4 linked regions of the Mus musculus genome follow. The protein of the gene in region 3 purifies or fractionates together with the protein of the main gene of each other region. This does not show direct contact. Links are inferred from orthologs where the notes say so. Each region holds a gene or a part of one and is shown on either strand. Other genes may lie near its edges.

Region 1 (3,633 bases), on a different chromosome or scaffold from region 3:
AATTGCATTAGACTGGCTCCTTCCACTCCACTGAGTTGGGGAGGTCGGGTTGCTGGCTGGAGACAGTATTGGGGAGTTCCCAGACCTTCCAGGTTTAAGGAAGGAGAGGTAAAGATGAGACAGGCTCGTTGTAGTGTGGCTGTATCGGGCAGTGCCTGATGCTCCAGTGGAAGGGGCTTTAGGAGTCAGGGAAAGATGCATAGAAAGATCTGTGGGGGGTGAGGTAGGGGGTGATGTGGTGACCTGACCTGGGGCGGGTGGGCTCCATCTCAATGTCAGCCCTTTGCCCGGGGCGACCTGGGTGTCTTGGAGCTTGGTCCCTTTGTTCCAAGCATGCTTTGCCCTCCAAACACCTGATGCAGACTTCATTCCCTGCCCCCTCTCCATGTGCTCACCCCTGCTGCTGTGACGTGTGACAGCATGGGTGAGCCTGCTAGTCTGCTGGAGATGGATGAGGCTGTGTGTCCTGTGGGGCCCTGTCTCGCGCACTCTGTCTGCTGCAAGCCTCAAATGAAGTGTGTGCTTCAAATCATTGTTGTTATTTTACCCAAGTCGCTAAACAAATAGTAAGTTCTTCATCTCAAGAACTGGGGGTAGAACCCAGGGCCTCATGATGCCAGGCAAGTGCTCTACCGCTAGGTCGCATCCCTCACCAACTGATACGTCTCCCCACTTTAGCCGCCGTTTCCTAGTGGAAACACTGACAATCTCAGGATCCAGAGACTGTCCTGAAATGCTCAATGTTACCTACCTAGTTAACTATAGTCAGCGCTGTGCAAGAGGACGGTGGGCTCTCCCCTCATCAGGATGGAACCTCATAGTGACCTCTGTCTCCCAGCCTCTGCTCAGCCAGGGTTCCTGCCTCTGCTTTGGGGTTAGCTCACTCCCTTAGATTCTGCTTAGGAGGGAGATGGGCGAGCTTGCTTTATGGTTAACATTCGCTAAAGGGAAGCTGGAACTGCCCCTGGGGAGGGGCAGGAAGTGAGTGAGGCAGCAGGCCCCGTGCAACTCCAGGTAGTGCCTGTCTCACAGAAGCCAGGGAGGCTTCTAATGCAAGGCAGTTAACTGTTTGGAGGTTACATGACTGAGGCGTGTCCTGCCCAGATGTCTTCTCCAGTTGTCACACTCCAGGGTCTGGGCTTCAGACCTGGGAGTTTGATTTTGTGCTTGCCCTAGTTGAACTCTCGGGCTCACTGACCAGACTCCTAGGAAGCTGTTGTTTGAAGCTCTTGCTAGTTTTAGCAGGTTCAGACTCAGGTGCCACGCCAGCCCATCCCCCTGGGGAGAGCAGATCTGAGTGGCTGCTTCTGGGGAGGAGACATTTCCCTGTGTGGAGTCCGTCCTCTAAAGCCCCAGAGAAGTCCAGAGTGAAAGGCGGCCCTGTTCCCCATCTGCTGTATCGGTCTTGCCCTCTGGTAGCTACAAAGGGTTATATAGAAGAAAACTGGGAGTGTGTAAGCAAAGACTTCATATACAAACCTTGGCTGGGGTCAGTGGCCTTGAAAAAGGGCTTTCTATGTCCATGGTCTTCAGCACGCAGCCTCTGTGGGAGCAGCAGACATGAGGTACCTGCCTGATCCCAGGCTCTTTTCAGTCTCCTAGCCTGTGACTGGGTGCTCAGCTGGCTGACTCCGGTAAGCACAGGGCTTGCAGCCTGCCACGGGAGTGTGGCTGGGCTCATGCATAGACTAAGTGTGCTTGGTCACATAGCTGCAGTGGGATGTCTGTGGGATGGATGTTCTGATGCTGCAGGGACCCCTGCTGGCTCCAGGGACAGGTGGATAGACTCACCCCTTCCATTCTTGCCACAGATTCTATGGAAGTGAAACCCATCATGACCAGAAAATTGCGGAGGCGACCAAACGATCCTGTCCCCATTCCAGACAAGAGGAGAAAACCGGCTCCTGATATCCATTTGTACCAAGCTTGAGTCATGAACTCCTATGCTTAGTGTGTGTAGTAGTGTATGCAGGGTCACAGTCTCACGAGCCAGCGGCAGTCCAGGTCGGGAAAGCATATGTGAGATACTTACCTACAGGTGGGGTTGACTCCAGACAGCACTGGAGTCAACTATTGCTTTTCGTTGGAGAGGTTTCCAGAAAATGGTTACTTAGAAAGGTGCTCTTTTGGAAACAGCCTTGTTCTTACACTCCCTTTAAGCAGCTTACAGTGAAATGTGTAAATTGAGGGCAGCACTGCCTGCTGTGGTCCCAGGTACCCACCTCTGCCTCTTGGGCTGCAGACTGCCCTAGCCCACCGGTTATCTGACTACAGTACTGGGCTGCAGACTGCCCTGGCCCACCAGTTATCTGCTTCTGGGTTGTGGACTGCTGTAGTGTACCAGTTGTATGCTTCTCTCTACACTGGTAGGTTGTGTACTGCCATGCGTAGTCTACCGGTCACCTGCCTTTACACTAGTGGGTCGTGAACTGTACCACAAGTAGGTCCGGTGTTCATGGAAGATGCTATATAGCCACGGACGTGGCCAGTGGGCCAACGTGGAGCACTCTCTTTGGGAGATTTAGTGTAGCAGTTTGCCCAGCGTGGGCTGTACTGTGCAACCAGCAGAGGGTGCTGCTCCAGGCCTCTCCCCTTCACAGCGTGATCTAAGCCACTGTGAGAGTAGCCTTTCCGTGTCTGTCTGGAAAGCTTCAAACTTGGGAGTAGCAGTGTTTTTCTCCCTTAGATGAGATTGTCACCTTGCTGTGCTGTGTTCCCACCCCTGCGACATCTGTTGAGTAGCAGCATCTCTTCCCCTCAGAGCAGTGTGTACGAGGGGTGCGTGGAGTTCTCGTCTGTGCCTGGTGACTTTTAGCATGAGAGTCAGTTTTTTAAAGAGGCAAGGTCTTACCTTGAAAACAGCCTTTCTGTAGCCCAGGCCTCCCCAGTCCCAAAGCACTGGGGTCCCTGGGTGCCTCTGTCTCCTTGGAAGCCATGCATTTCCCACGAGTTCTTTAACTCTCGGCACCTCAGCTGAACTACTTGCTAACAGACGAGCAGATCATGGAGGACCTGAGGACGCTGAACAAGGTAGGGTGGGACGCTTTTGCTGTACTTGAAAGGCTCACGTGTTTTGTGACGTAAGTTCCTGTCACCTGCTAAAGTCACCATGACATCTCTGATGCTTTATGTTGCTTCTAAGATGATTTTCTCTGAGACTTTCTTGTTGTTATTCTTCCTACAGCTTAAGTCACCCAAGAGACCAGGTGAGTGCCCGATGACACTGCCAGTCTTTGTACCCTGTCATTGGAAAAGTGGAGGTGGGGTTTCCAGGAGTGAATTATGCTGAGTCGTGAAAAGGGCAGGAATCATAAACATGTCTCTCCCGTGTTGTTTCTTTAAAGCCAGCTGTGCTGTTTGTCTTTTCCTTAGGACTTACTATAGAGGAGACCTTTGATTGGCTCTTGAAGGGTTCCCTTCTGAGTGGGTGTCGGGTGGGCCTTAGGTTCAGGACCGTTTTCAGTTCCAGTCATGCAACCATGGGGAACTTTGTCTGGAGCTCAGACCCTGCAGTGCTGACTGTGGTGCTCGGGTCCTAGGGAGGCCCAGGCTGTCCTCGTCCTCGTTAGGAGACAAGGCGTATGTAGCTGTCTGTGGTGCTCGGGTCCTAGGGAGGCCCAGGCTGTCCTCGTC
Region 2 (4,317 bases), on a different chromosome or scaffold from region 3:
GTGTGCAAGCACCTTTGCTTGCTGAACTATCTCATCACCTCCTTGAGTATTAGTAACTTTATTTTATTTTTTTTAAGATTTTTTAAAATTTATTTTATTTATATAAGTACACTGTGGTTGTCTTCAGACACCAGAAGAGGGCATCGGATGCCATGACTGATGGTTGTGAGCCACTCACCATGTGGTTACTGGGAATTGAACTCAGGACCTTTGTAAGAGCAATCAGTACTCTTAACCACTGAGCCAACTCTCCAGCATCCCTCCCCCCAATTTAAATTTTTTTTTTTGTTTTTTGGATTTTTGTATTAATAACTTTAAAGGAGTAGTTTGAGACCGTGGCAGAACTCAGCAAGATGTGCACACTAGCCAGGGCCAATGGCACAAGCCTGCAATCCCAGTTACTCTGGAGCCTGGGACAGGGGGAATGCAAGCTCAAGGCCTGATAGGGCTACAGATTATGTTCAAGGCAGTCTGGCCAATTGAGTGAACACCAATGTCAAAAAATTTAAAAATTAACAAAAAGTATAATGTCAGAAATCACCTAAATAGAGAGCAGGCTGAAGTATGTCAGTTATTTAGAAACCAGAGAGTTAAAGGATGACGTGAGAAAAGAAAATAGCAAGAAGGAGGAGGGGCTCTTGAAACTCTGGTAGTCAGTTCTTCCCAAACAGTATGGCTTGTTACAAAGAATCTATTATGATCACAAAACTCTAGTTCTAAATGACCTTCTGGGAAGAGAGGTCCGTAATCTCTTAGCAGTCAAAAAATGTATAGCACCATCTCTGGCAAAGACATAAACTCTATAACTTCCACTACAGGCAAAACAGCACCCCACCTCTCTCTTTGTAATACGGAAGACTTGAGGGAGAGTAGAGCTGCCTTATCCAATTGTGTGCACTGAGCACGACCCAGGCGGGTGTTCGGCTCCAGCGGGGTCCAGCCACCCCAGGAATCCCTCCATGACAAGACCCAATCCTACGTGCAGCAAGGGGAGGAGACTCCATGAGGATACGGCGGGCTCTCGGGGCAGCCACAATCATCCTCCTTTACTCCTTACGCGTCCCACTGCCTCCATCACCGGGGTAAAATTCAACCGAGTGCTTTCCCGCTGAAGCGAAACCGTGGAATCCTTTATCGTGTCAGTCCCCAAAAGAAATGGCAGAACAGTCTTCAGACTTGACTGCGAAGAACAGTGAAGCCCGCGTCCAGTCGCCCAGGCCCCGCCCTCTTAGGGCTGGGGACTACATTTCCTAGAGGCCTCTTCGGCTCCAAGAGGCGGGACCGACTGTTGTCCTGTTCCCTGCAGGCGAGGACTGGCTGCCTGAGCGAGGGGCGGGGTTTGTCGTAGCCAGTAAGCGAAAGTCTCGTTACGGCGGCGGAAGCAGCCAAGCTGGAGTGAGGGGTGGGGGACAGAGTGCTAGCGGCCGGGCTGCGGCTGCGGGTCCGGAGCCCGAGGACATTAGCCCTAAAGACGGAGAGCACACAAGAGCAAGCTCTAGACGGCGTGGCCGCGCCCAGGTAATGGCGGAACGAGAGCCGGGAGGGAGAGGAGTAGTCGAGGGGGCGGGACTGCCTAGGCAGTCCTGGTGCTCGTCCCTGGGGAAGGACAGAGCCGCCACAGCTCTTGCGGTCCTCATTCCAGCTCTTTAGCAAGCTAGGCAGAGCAGTTAAGTCTGCGGCAGGGTCCGGATGATCGGTGGGAAGGAGGACAAGAAACACCGAGGGGTGGGCAGCTCCGGGCGTGGGGGCGTGGCGGACGCGGGCCTCCGCAGGGAAGTCAGCGGGAAGGAGGACGGCCTAGGGAGTTTGGCTTCTGGAGCAGTTTAAAGTGACTCTCCACATCCGGGCCCTGCGCCCGCCGCTTTCAGACCCTTGCTGGGGCGGGGCCTCCCGGATCCCCGCCCTTCTTGCCAGGGATCGCCTATCTCTCCCTTCTATTGGCCCAGCCCCGGAGTTTAGACTGCTCCCCGCCCCCAGAGAGACTGGCGTCTTATTGGCTGGCGGCCGGCGGGAGGGCGGGGCGGGCCCAGAACGCGCAGGCAACTGCGGATTGGTGCTGGATACAGTGACGCACCCCGCGTCTAGCCAATGAGCGGGCGGGGGAGGCAGGGGTAGGTTGGGTGGTAAGAGGTGGTAAGCGGAGCGGCTGCTGGCCGTAGGGTGAGTGTGGCTGGCGGGCGGGCTGAACTGAGGCGGGCCGGGGACGCGTTCCGAATTGCGTTCCCTCCGTGCCTGCAGAGCCCCTCGAGCCCTTCGTGGCGGCTGCATATAAAAGGGCACACTGCTTATCTTGCCGAGAGGACTCCGTAGGACGTTTTCTCCGGGAGACAGAGCTTCGACACCCGGGGTGTCTGGAAACGTGTGTCCTGGGATCTCGGAGGGGAAATGGGGATAACTGGGGTAGACCGGAGATAAGCGAAGCCTGAGGGGGAAGACAATTTTAGAGACCGTGGTTCTCGAATCCTACCCGTGTCTCGGGTTGGGGGGTGGGGGGATTATCCGTGATGAGGAAGAAAGGAAATCCTTAAATGGAGGCCTTTACGGAAAAGCGTTTGAGGATTCCACAAGCATCGGGTCTTAATGTAAGATTTTTCAATCCTTTCTTGGGGCTGGACATTATGACATACTAATTATGGTTCTATTTACCTTGGTGTGAGGCTTGAGTATTTAAAGGAGCCATACTATTTTCCATAAAAATTTTACACAGCCTATGATTATGGTACTACCATTTGGCGGCTATATAACATTCCATGCTTCTTTTTTTTTTTAATCCATAAGTATTTTGGAAGCTTATAGTAGCCTCCAACATTTGTATAAAGTCTGTCATTATTAATTTAGCCTTAGAATGTAAAAAAACCCTCAATAGATGTCTGTGCCATTGATCATAACTTTTAAATAAATGAAGCTGCATATGTTTTCCTGAGAGGTCACGGGTACTAAAGATGCTTTGATCTCTCGATGTCGGTTCTAATTTCAGAATCTGGTAATCGTGGCCTGACTTGTTTTGCAGGTGGAAATGAGTTCCCAGCAGTTTCCTCGGTTAGGAACCCCTTCCCCTGGGCTTAGCCAGCCACCTTCACAGATTGCAAGCAGTGGTTCCGCAGGACTGATAAACCAAGTTGCCACAGGTAAGATAAGTCACAGCTCTTTTGTATTGCTTACTGTTTGAAGAATGTCACTATCTTCAAATTAGCAAACTCCTTTTCATAATTACTGTCTTATCGACTTTGAGGAAAGGATGTGTCAATACACTTAAAATAAGGCATTTCCCTCTCTTTTTTAAAAAATCATTTATGTATGCTAGGCTAAGTGCAACTTTAGTAAACCATACTTGTAAGAACCATTTTTAAAAGTATTTGTATGTTAGATTTAATTCTCTCTTGGGGTATAGGTATGGTGGTGGTGCCCTGAGAAAACCCAGCAGTGAATGTGAAGAAGTTCTGCTTCTAAGGACCTTCTTAGGACCTTAAGATTAGGAAAAGAGAGGCAGAGTATGTGAGAGAGAGTTTTTAAGAGTGTGTTTTTGAGGTCATGTGTGCTTTGAAAGGTGAGAGGTCAGCCTCAAATGCGCTTCCTAGGAACTGTCCTTGGTTTTTGATACAGGGTGGCTCACTGGGACTGGAACTGAGGAAGCTAGGCTGACGAGCACACGATTGAATGAGCTGCTGCCCCGGCCCTTGAAAAAGGGTTGCAAAGTATTTATATACTTGGTTTTTATTTGTAGCATATCTTTTGAGTGCTATAGACTGTGATTCTCAGTGGTGGGTTGGGCGATATTCTATACTAATTGGCAATGTCTAGAGACAGTTGTGATTGTCACAACTGAAGTACTGGACATCCTAAATGCACTAGATAAACCCCTTCCACCCTCCAAGACTTCTCAAAGCCAGTGAGCAGTTTTCAGACTTTGTCTCCACTCTGTATTAAGTATATATTGCGAGCTGAAGTGAAGTCACCTTTTCCCCATCTGTTTCTTGTTTCCTGGTGGCAAGTGCTGCTTTTCACTCACTGCTCAAGCTAAAGGCTGAGGTGTCTCTAGTTGTCATTGTATTCTGTCTCTCACTCCACCCCACCACCTTGGCTCACAATGTAGCTCAGGCTGGCCTCAAGACAGTTCGGGGTCACCTTTGTCCCACCATGCCTGGCTGGCTTTATCCACCAGCAAGCTTTTGGGCTCATTCCTGCTGCTTTGACTAGTTCGTGCTAATTTAGTTTTTAACTACAGATTTGTTTGTTACTGTAAGCTACTCTATGCCTGCTGTGGGACAGTGTGTACTGTTTTTTCTGTGTAAAGTATTTGTAGTTCTCAGGATTTCT
Region 3 (4,396 bases):
GTTTCCACTGTAGAAATGCAATTGTAGCTGCCTCTCTAATTGTCCTCTATATACTTTTTTCTTGAGACAGGGTCTATGTGGCCTAAGCTAGCCTGGAACTCATACTGTAGATCAGGCTGGTCTTAGCACTTGTCACCACCACAATGCTAAGCATTTCCTCTTCTTTTGGGTGCGTTATCATTTTAGCAATTCAAGTTAGGAATCCAAGATATCCTATTGTTCACTGGGCCATTGGACCAGATAAAAACTGTTTTTAATTTTTTTTTTTTTCCTTTTTTGAAGACAGGGTCATCCTGTTTCAGTCTCCAGGGTACTGGATCAAAATTCCTACCTCACCTCTCTGGGCCTCAGTTCTTCCTACTGGGAAGTCTTTTTCCTGAAACAGGTTTCCTTTCCTTTAGGGACTTCCCTTAGTAACTCTGGCTGGCTTCTTGAGTCAAGCTTAGTTCTCACACTCTCAGGAAAACCTTTCTATACCTCTCGAAGCCAAAGGTCCTCCTATCAGGTTTCATTTTGACTAGACTTCCGTTCAGGAAGTTATACATCCCCTCTTTCCACATGAGGACTTCTAACATCTCAGAGGGTGAACTCTGAGCATCAAACATTCATACAATATTGAAAATTTCATGCAAAGTATCTCTCTCTCTTTTTAAAATAGGCCGGCTCTGGCTTGAGACTAGCGACACAGATATGGGTCACCGAGCTCAGCTGTTAGGCGCATAGCAAGAACCTTTGACTCCAAGCCCCGGGGGGCGATGGCTCTGAAGGAAAAGAAAGGGCTCCACACAGGCATAGCTGTAATAAGCTCGCAGGCGGGCTTCTTCCCTGCGCTGCACCGGTGGCCCTTCCACTCTTTCCGAGCTCCTCTGCCTCCCCTCATCCCAGCACCCGGCCGGCAGTCACTCCGAGCCGGGTCAGCATCCGGGTCCTCTCTCCCTCCTTACTGCTTCCTCCTCCGTACCGCCCCCTCCCCCGCTCCCCATCCGGGTCCCCCCTGCCACCGCGCTGTTGCTCACGGTTCCACGATGATCTCAGACTTGAAGCCGCCGCCGGTACGAGACTAGCAGTGCCCACATCGACTTCTCAATTTATTGTTCTGACTGCGGCTCTTCAAGAGGCTTCCTTGGAGCCCTCCCACTATTTCACACAGAAATCTCTGCCCTCCTCAGCGGCCAGCGACGCCGCAGCACTCAGTGCAAGAAAATACGCCATCCCTATCACACTGCGCAGGCGTCGTATGCCACCTCCCCTCTGCCTCATGGCCGCGCCTCCTTCCCCTCCCCTCTCTCGTCGAACGCAGGCAAGTGGGCATTGCGGTCTTGGTAGTTCTAATGTCCGTCAGTTTACCGATTGGCCTAGAAGACTGGACTACAATTCCCAGAAAGTATTGAGGGATAACTTTCTGTTTCCATAGAACTGGTGGGTAAATGGCGTCGTTGTTTGCATCGCTCAAACCAATAGAAACTTGGAAGAGGCGGGCTCCAAAGAATCCTACCCAATCCTAGGTCGTCTGAGAGGCATCCGGGAAAGAGGTAGGGGAGGGGCAAAGGGCCGAGGGGAGGGGAGAAGGGGCAGGGGGGCCAGAGAGGGGGGAAAGCGATGTTTGCCCGTCAGTCGAGTCCGGAGTGAGGAGCTCGGGCGCTGGAGCGGAGGGAGAGTCTCGAGCCGCAGTTTGCCGCCGCGACGGCCACCGCCTGGACTTCTGCCCGGAGGGAGCCGCTGAAGGTCGGCCGCCGTGTTCCTCTGGAGGGCTGTGAGACCGGGGCCCGGACCTCCGTCCGAGAGGGATTTTTTTGTCGCCCCCCTCCCCCCGCGAGGGAGCCGGAGCGGCCGCCAAACAAAGGTACCAGTCGCCGCCACGGGAGGAGGAGGAGTCGGAGCCGGAGTCCCGGCCGCCGGCGGACCCGCAGCTCCTTCGCTCTCTCTCCCCACAGGCCTGCTGGTGTTGGGGGTGGGGGGAGGCGGATCAGGGGGCTCTGGCCGCAGGGCTCAGACCTCGTCTGTGCCCGAGGTAGGGACATTCTTTTCTATGGGGGAAGCTCCGGGCCGGGCCGCGCATCGGGGCAGATGGCAACGGGGCTGAGTCGGCGCTCGCAGCGGGGCCTCGGCCTCCTGGGACCCCCGCCCCCCGCCGCGCCGAGCCGGAGCCGCCCTACCCGGGCCGCACCGTGGGCCCGGCGGCCTCGGGCCGCCGTGCTGGGAGCTGGATGTCCTCGGTGCCCGGTCCCGGCTCCCACTTGTGGGCCTTGGCTCGGGCGGGACGCGGGCGGACGCTGTGGGGCCGAGCCTCCGCAGCCCAAGGGCCCGCCGGTTCACCGAGGGCTCAGTCCGGGGGCTCCGGGCATCGCGGTTCCGTAGGCTTGGACGGTCGCAGCCGCGCTTCAGGCCGCGCCGGACCCTGGGCTTGTTGTGAGTTTTCTTCTGACAGAAATGGCGTCATCGTGGAGGACGGGGGAAAAGTCCGTGGAGTCGCGACAATGGGGCGGCGGGCGGTGGGGGCGGTAGGGGCGGTGGGATGGCGCGTGCCTGCTCGGGGCTCCTGGCCCCGCTCGGTGCCGCCCCCGCCCCTACGGCCTGGGGCGGGGGTGGTGGTGGTGCCGGTGGTGCTGACCCGGTGTCTTTGTTTCCCCTCCAGGTGCAGGTGAAGCTGGTGTCGCCGTGGGGATCGCGGCCCCAGAGTCACCATGAAGGTAAGGCGTCACTTAGCCAGTTTGAGTGGCTTTCGAATTCAGGAAGTGTCGGGGCTGTAGCAGGCCTGCGAGTTTTGCAGAGGCAGGTGTGTGTGTGTGTGTGTGTGTGTGTGTGTGTGGAGTGGCTCGGTGTGGAGCTTTCCCTGACAGGGTCAGCTGGAGCGAACATCCACAGGCTGTGTGTTTCGAAGTTATGGAGTCAGTTAGGAGATAACCTCACCCAAGCTGTTCAGGTTTCCCAAACAGAACAGCACCTTTTGCATGGAGCCGAAGGAACAACTGCACACATTAAAGCGTCTTAAATCGTAAAACGGAAAGCTGGTCTAGTAACCTGAATATTGAAACTGTAGTGGGTCTCTCTCTCTGTTCAATGATGAAAGGAAATGTCATTTGATTATGTGACCGGGACCGTAAATTTTAAGCAGAAAGCAAAATACTGAAGATGTTTAAAGCAGTTTGGTGCTCCTTCCCTAAAGAAACCCGAGTTGGCCTGCTGTGCCTTGTATTTCTAGGGACTTAGGTTTCTGTATGGTTTCTTTTTCTCACTGTTGGTGTACTGATCTTGGAGTTGACTCTTTTAAGATATGTTGTGTGTAATGGGCAGGTTGTACTGAAGTAAACATGTTGACCACAGAATAGCTTCTAAGAAATGTGTCTAAGAAGTAGTCTGTGTATTGATGGAATAAATCACAGCTGTTTTAGTTTTTTTTTTTTTTTCATATTGGTATGAAAAGCTTTAGGTATCTGAAAATATCTAGATTTAACTGTTGGAACTTTGATACTGGAAAATTTTTCTTTAAAATCTACTACAAATTCAGATATGCTTGGAAAGCGTGTGTATTGAAGTGTTAGAATGTAAATGACATCTACTTTTGACAGTTCTTTTGGGATTCTTTTTTTTTTTTAATTTAATTAATTTTTTTTTAAATTTTAATTAATCCAGTGAGGATTGCTTTTGTAGGACTGCATCCAGGTACAGTTTCAAAAGCTTCTGTTTGTAGACTACAAATGCTGTTGCCACTTTGTGTTTGTCTCTTGTACAAAGCAGTTTAGACCCTTTTAAAGGTTTTTTTTTTTTTTTTTTTTTTTTTTTTTTTTTTTTTTTTCCTCTTTTTGAGTTTGGGGCTCTGTAGAGGCTTGGCTTTTATTTTCTAAGTTCCTGTCTTTCATATGAATGAAAATGTAACCAGTGTTGTATGAGAGGTGGAACCTTTTTGTTTGTCACAGATGTACAACCTGTATGAAATAGTGAAAAGTGAGTGTCTTAGGGCAAAGTGAAGTTTTTAGGGAAAGCATATATCTGTCTTGTTGTTGGGTATGACTGGAGGAAAGCTTTAGGTTAACTGATAAATGTATACTGCACAATACATTTGGAAGCTGAATACATTTGGAATAAATGTTGTAATCTGTTAGTTCCTGTTGTGATGTCTGGCACATCTTAAATTCTCAGTAAATGTTTGTCTGAAAGGGAGGTACTGAGTTGAAGATGTCAATATGTTTTTGTTTTTCTTAATTTTCATTTTCTGTGTAAAAAAAACTTTTCTTTTTGAAGAGAAAAAAAGGAAGGAAGGAAGTAGGTAGGTAAGTCAGGTGTGAGGGTGCGTGACTGTTTCCACTTCCCATTGGTGGAAGGAGGATCAGTAGTTCAAGGACAGCCTGGGTTAGAGGCTAGCCTGGTCTACATATTGAGTTGGAGGGCAACAAGT
Region 4 (4,149 bases), on a different chromosome or scaffold from region 3:
CGAATGGTTGCGATTACAGCCCTTCCCCTTGAACAGTCATTCTTAAGACCATATCCTTCACACAATCTGGAATTTTTACTCCTTCTGTGAACGTAAGTGCACACTCAAGGTTTATTTATGCAGTGGTCTGTGTGAGGTTTTCAGCCTCTCTTCCTCCAGTTTAAAATGTCCCTGGATCTACCCGACCAATAGAGTATACATTTTCCCTTCATGCTCCGCCTTCCGGAGGCTTGCCCAGGCGGTGACATTTAAAGGCCTCCGCTGGGTTATCTCCGCCCCCTGAGGGCTGCAGATTCTGGTTGTCCCAGTGTCACAGTATTCAGTCAGCCCTAGTGACCAGCTAGTAATATCTGGGCTTTTGGATCAGATTAGAGCTCCAGACCTTAATTTTGGAGTCGGCTTGCTGAAAGTAGCTGCTGAGTGCTCCAGATGGCTGTGTTTAGAAGACCGTGAAAGTGTAAAAATAAGTGGGTAGGAAGGACAAGGCTTTCTGTCATTGTTTTGGTTAATTCTCCACGGCGGGTAATACTACTGCCTTTTCCTTTTCAAATCTCAAAGCCTCGGGTTTCGGCCGCTGAGCTCCCCGCCATCTCCGATCCCGGCCTTGGAACGCTGAGGTTCAGTCTCCAGTGTAAACATTCCACAAAAGGACTGCTAAGGTTCAGCATCCTCGCGCAGGGCGGAATGGTCTCCTTCCTGGACCGGCGCCGTGTCCAATGGCGGCTCCTACCGGCGCCAAGATAGTCCAATCAGATCATTGGGGGCGGGGCCTGGCCCAGCCGTGTAGTGGGTGGAGTCGGCCTCACTTAAGGACATTTTTACCCCACATTGGTTACTTACCTTCCTGGGGCTATGAGAGAAGCAAAGGTAGTCTTCCAATGCAGGGACCGGCGGAGGCGGGAGCCGATTTGTTAGGCCTGTGGCTGGGGCGGTATGGGGAGGGATATGTGAGACTCTCCAATGAGATGTGAAGAGGTACTCCTCTTCCTCCAATAGTATTAGAGCCCGGAGGAGGGATTCGGCAATCAGTCTCCAATAGGCGGGGTTGAGTTAGGGACTCTCCCCGCCAATAGGGGCGTGGAGAAGGTGAGCGGCTCGCTCTCCCCTCCCAGCGAGGGAAGAGGGCGGGAGTAGGTCTTTGCGGCATAGTGATTGGCTAAACCATTGACGGATGGGTAATATATCCCGTGGCGGAGCGAGGTTAAGCCTTCCCTCGGCGGGGCGGGCCGGGAGAGTGGGCGGGATTTCCCGGGTAACAGAGAAGCGGCCGCGGCGGTAGAGGCGGCAGAGACGGTTTCTCCATCTTCCCCCCTCCCCTTCCCCCCTTAGAGTTTCCCTCCCTCCCTCCCTCCTTCCCAGTCTGGGCACCCAGGCCTGTGACCGCTTCGTGGGCGCAAAGGAGGTTGCCAGTCCGCTCTTGCGGGCCTGTGCCCGCGCCGTTCCGGGGCCTCCGTGCTGGGTGCGAGGCTCACGCCGGGAGCGACGCACAGGCTGAGTGGCTGGAGCTTTTGCGGTGAGAGCACGCCGCACCGCGGTCCGCCCAGCAGCTGGGTGGCGGGTAACCCGGGACTGGAGGGCGTGTGTTTTTCGGGGGGGCTGACCTCGGCTTCCCGTGCGTGGCTGTGGGGGGCGGAGCGGAGCCGCACTCAGTGCGGGAGGGGGAGGAGAGCGTAGTCCCGGTGCGCACGGAGGGGCGGGTCCTAGTCCCGCCGATCAGAGGCGGGGCCGGCGCGCGTGCGGTGGTGGAGAAAGGGGCGGGACGGGCTCGCGCTAAAGGCCCGCGGCTGTGACCCCGCCCCTTCTCCCTTATGGGCGGGACCACTGGCTGAACTGCTTTGGGTCCGCGGGGCGTGCGGGACGGGAAGAGGGTCCCGGCGTGTGGCTTTCAGGGCGCGGTGGCGAGGGGGCGTGAAGCCTGTGTTCCCCCGCCTTAGCGGGATCCGGTTGGCCGGAAGGCGCGTCCGGGGCTGTGATGCCACGCCCCTCCCGCCCCGCCCCCTCCGGGATTTCCGCCTCCTTAGCAGTGAAGAGGAGCTGGGGAAAGCCCGCTGTGGCGTCTGGCAGGGGGTCAGGGCTCCGTGTCTGCTCCTCCCAGCATCCCCGTGGGTGGGAGGGCCCCTTGTAGACTGGGAACGGTGGAGGTGTCCGGACTTTATGCTGTGGCTTCTTCATCCATTCTGCTTGGGGCATCGTGGCCCGTAGCTGTAGTCTTCTACTTTGCTTCACACACCATGGATGGCGCCTTAACAGCTAGGGAGAGTAGAAGCGTGGTCAGCTGCTCCTCTTCGTTGTAATTATTGGGACGAGATACTCAGCGTCCTCTCTGGAGTGTCTGCGGTGGGGTGCGGCTGGTGCTGTGCCCTTGCTTCCCCGACAGTGGCCGGTGGGGGAGGGGCAGAGTGATCAGGGACTGGAATTGTGGAGGGCGCCAACCTTCCCTGGAGTTCCCTTGATGTTCAGCTACTGCGCCTTTACGGGTTGATACCTAAAAATTGCTACCATTTTTGGTAGCTTAGGACTTTAAACTCAGTTTACCATTTGAGCTCCTAACAAATCTGAGATTTTATTTCTAGAGAAAGTATTGAATTTATGATTGTAAGTGATGGAGTGAGTTTAGGGCACATAAGCATTGCTTCACCGCTAGGCTATACCCCAAGGCTAAATTTTTTTTTTTTAAGTCAAAGATTTAACTCTCTTTAAGTAAAATACTCTGATTTCTTGACTGATTTCACCTACAGAAGGTTTTGTTACATAAGCTTAGTTTCACAAAGGTAACTTAGAATTTTGTGTTCTCTTTTGGTTTTATGTAACTTCTAGTCCTTAAAGCTTCATGTTGCTCTTTTTAGATACTAAGTAGGTTGAACTGTATGAAACCTATGTGTAGCATAGCTTACCGGCCTGTGTTAGAGAGTTACTTTGGCCATTGTTGGTTTACTGCACATGTAACCATATTAGATGATCTTACTCGAGAACTTCATGAAAAGTGAACATCGAATTCTTAATTTATGTATTGATATCTGAGTATGTGTAAACCACTTTTAAAAAAGATTTATGTTAAAGTGTGTGTGTGTGGGGGGGGGCAGAATAGGATGTTAGATCTCCTGTAGGTGGAGATAACAGGTGGTTCTGAGCCACCTGACATGGAACCCAACTTAGGTCCTTTTACAGGAGCAGTCTGCACTGAGCCATCTCTCTAATCTCATAGTCATGTGTAATTTCTGAAGCTAAATTCTGGATTTGTTCTTTGTTCAGTAGAGGCTGAAAACTGTGCCCTGTGCTGTACTTAATGAAGAGGTTAAATATTCACTTTTCAGCTAAAGAAGTGACACCAGCCATGGTAACAGAATGGAGGTGGAGCCCAAAAGATAAGGACTTGGATGTACTACAGATGGAGTACACTTAAAACGCTAGAAGAGAATTCTTTGGCTTTGAGGAAAGTTTGACCAACCCATAGTTAATTTTACCAATTGAAGTACAGTTTGGAAAATCAGATGACTTAATTCATACCTTTTTTTTTTTTTCTTGTTTTTGAAACAAAGTTTAGCCCTGGGTGTCCTAGAGTTCACCCTGTAGTCTAGGCTGGACTCAGACTAAGAGACCTGCTTGCCTCTGCCCCCCAAACACTAGGATTAAAGGCATGTGCCACCACTGCTGAGCATAATTCTTATGTTTATAGAATGTGTATAATAGGTTGTGTACTGGAGTCACAAGTCCTAGGCTTTGAAATTTCAAGAACCTTGTTTTTGCTTGTTTTTTTTCTCCTATCCATCAGTATACGTTTGTTATTTTTGCATACTAGCATTTAGGAGGCTAAGCAGACTAAGTGGTGAAGAGTGAGTATTACTCTAAGAAAACCTGAGTTCAGTTTTCAGCAACCATGTCAACCTGTATCTCAGGCTCCAAGTACTGACACCTCCGGCCTCTAGGACACAGACACGGGTGCACACCCCCACATCCATACACACAGTGAAAAATAACAGAAATACAGCTTTGAAAAATAAACTGTTAATACTTTTAAATTCAGGCCTTAAGTCGTGTGCATAAGGAAGTTTTTTCTTTTTTTAAGACTTGAGATTGGTATTTGACAAGATTCCTGGTAAAGCACAGCCATCTTGACAGTGCAGCAAATATCCTGAAAGGTTACCCAGG

What was found.
Region 1: the proteins of Arid4b (region 3) and Suds3 purify together in Homo sapiens (affinity purification with western blotting; 3 studies listed by BioGRID, with this or other methods). This does not show direct contact. The link is inferred for Mus musculus from reciprocal best matches to the Homo sapiens genes ARID4B and SUDS3.
Region 2: the proteins of Arid4b (region 3) and Sap130 fractionate together in Homo sapiens (co-fractionation; 4 studies listed by BioGRID, with this or other methods). This does not show direct contact. The link is inferred for Mus musculus from reciprocal best matches to the Homo sapiens genes ARID4B and SAP130.
Region 4: the proteins of Arid4b (region 3) and Sin3a purify together in Homo sapiens (affinity purification with mass spectrometry; 5 studies listed by BioGRID, with this or other methods). This does not show direct contact. The link is inferred for Mus musculus from reciprocal best matches to the Homo sapiens genes ARID4B and SIN3A.

What each region holds. Positions count from the first base shown.
Region 1 is NC_000071.6:117,098,874-117,102,506, reverse strand, and holds part of Suds3 (sin3 histone deacetylase corepressor complex component SDS3), read left to right. Parts: intron 1-1,811; coding exon 1,812-1,907; intron 1,908-2,968; coding exon 2,969-3,030; intron 3,031-3,184; coding exon 3,185-3,206; intron 3,207-3,633.
Region 2 is NC_000084.6:31,632,972-31,637,288, forward strand, and holds the start of Sap130 (histone deacetylase complex subunit SAP130), read left to right. Parts: upstream 1-1,396; 5' UTR 1,397-1,518; intron 1,519-2,061; exon of another isoform or gene 2,062-2,528; coding exon of another isoform or gene 2,529-2,582; intron 2,583-3,010; coding exon of another isoform or gene 3,011-3,016; coding exon 3,017-3,128; intron 3,129-4,317. UniProt on the Homo sapiens protein: Acts as a transcriptional repressor. May function in the assembly and/or enzymatic activity of the mSin3A corepressor complex or in mediating interactions between the complex and other regulatory complexes.
Region 3 is NC_000079.6:14,062,190-14,066,585, forward strand, and holds the start of Arid4b (AT-rich interactive domain-containing protein 4B), read left to right. Parts: upstream 1-1,594; 5' UTR 1,595-1,843; intron 1,844-1,853; exon of another isoform or gene 1,854-2,409; intron 2,410-2,635; 5' UTR 2,636-2,684; coding exon 2,685-2,690; intron 2,691-4,396. UniProt on the Homo sapiens protein: Acts as a transcriptional repressor. May function in the assembly and/or enzymatic activity of the Sin3A corepressor complex or in mediating interactions between the complex and other regulatory complexes.
Region 4 is NC_000075.6:57,075,118-57,079,266, forward strand, and holds the start of Sin3a (paired amphipathic helix protein Sin3a), read left to right. Parts: upstream 1-1,258; 5' UTR 1,259-1,513; intron 1,514-4,149. UniProt on the Homo sapiens protein: Acts as a transcriptional repressor. Corepressor for REST. Interacts with MXI1 to repress MYC responsive genes and antagonize MYC oncogenic activities. Also interacts with MXD1-MAX heterodimers to repress transcription by tethering SIN3A to DNA.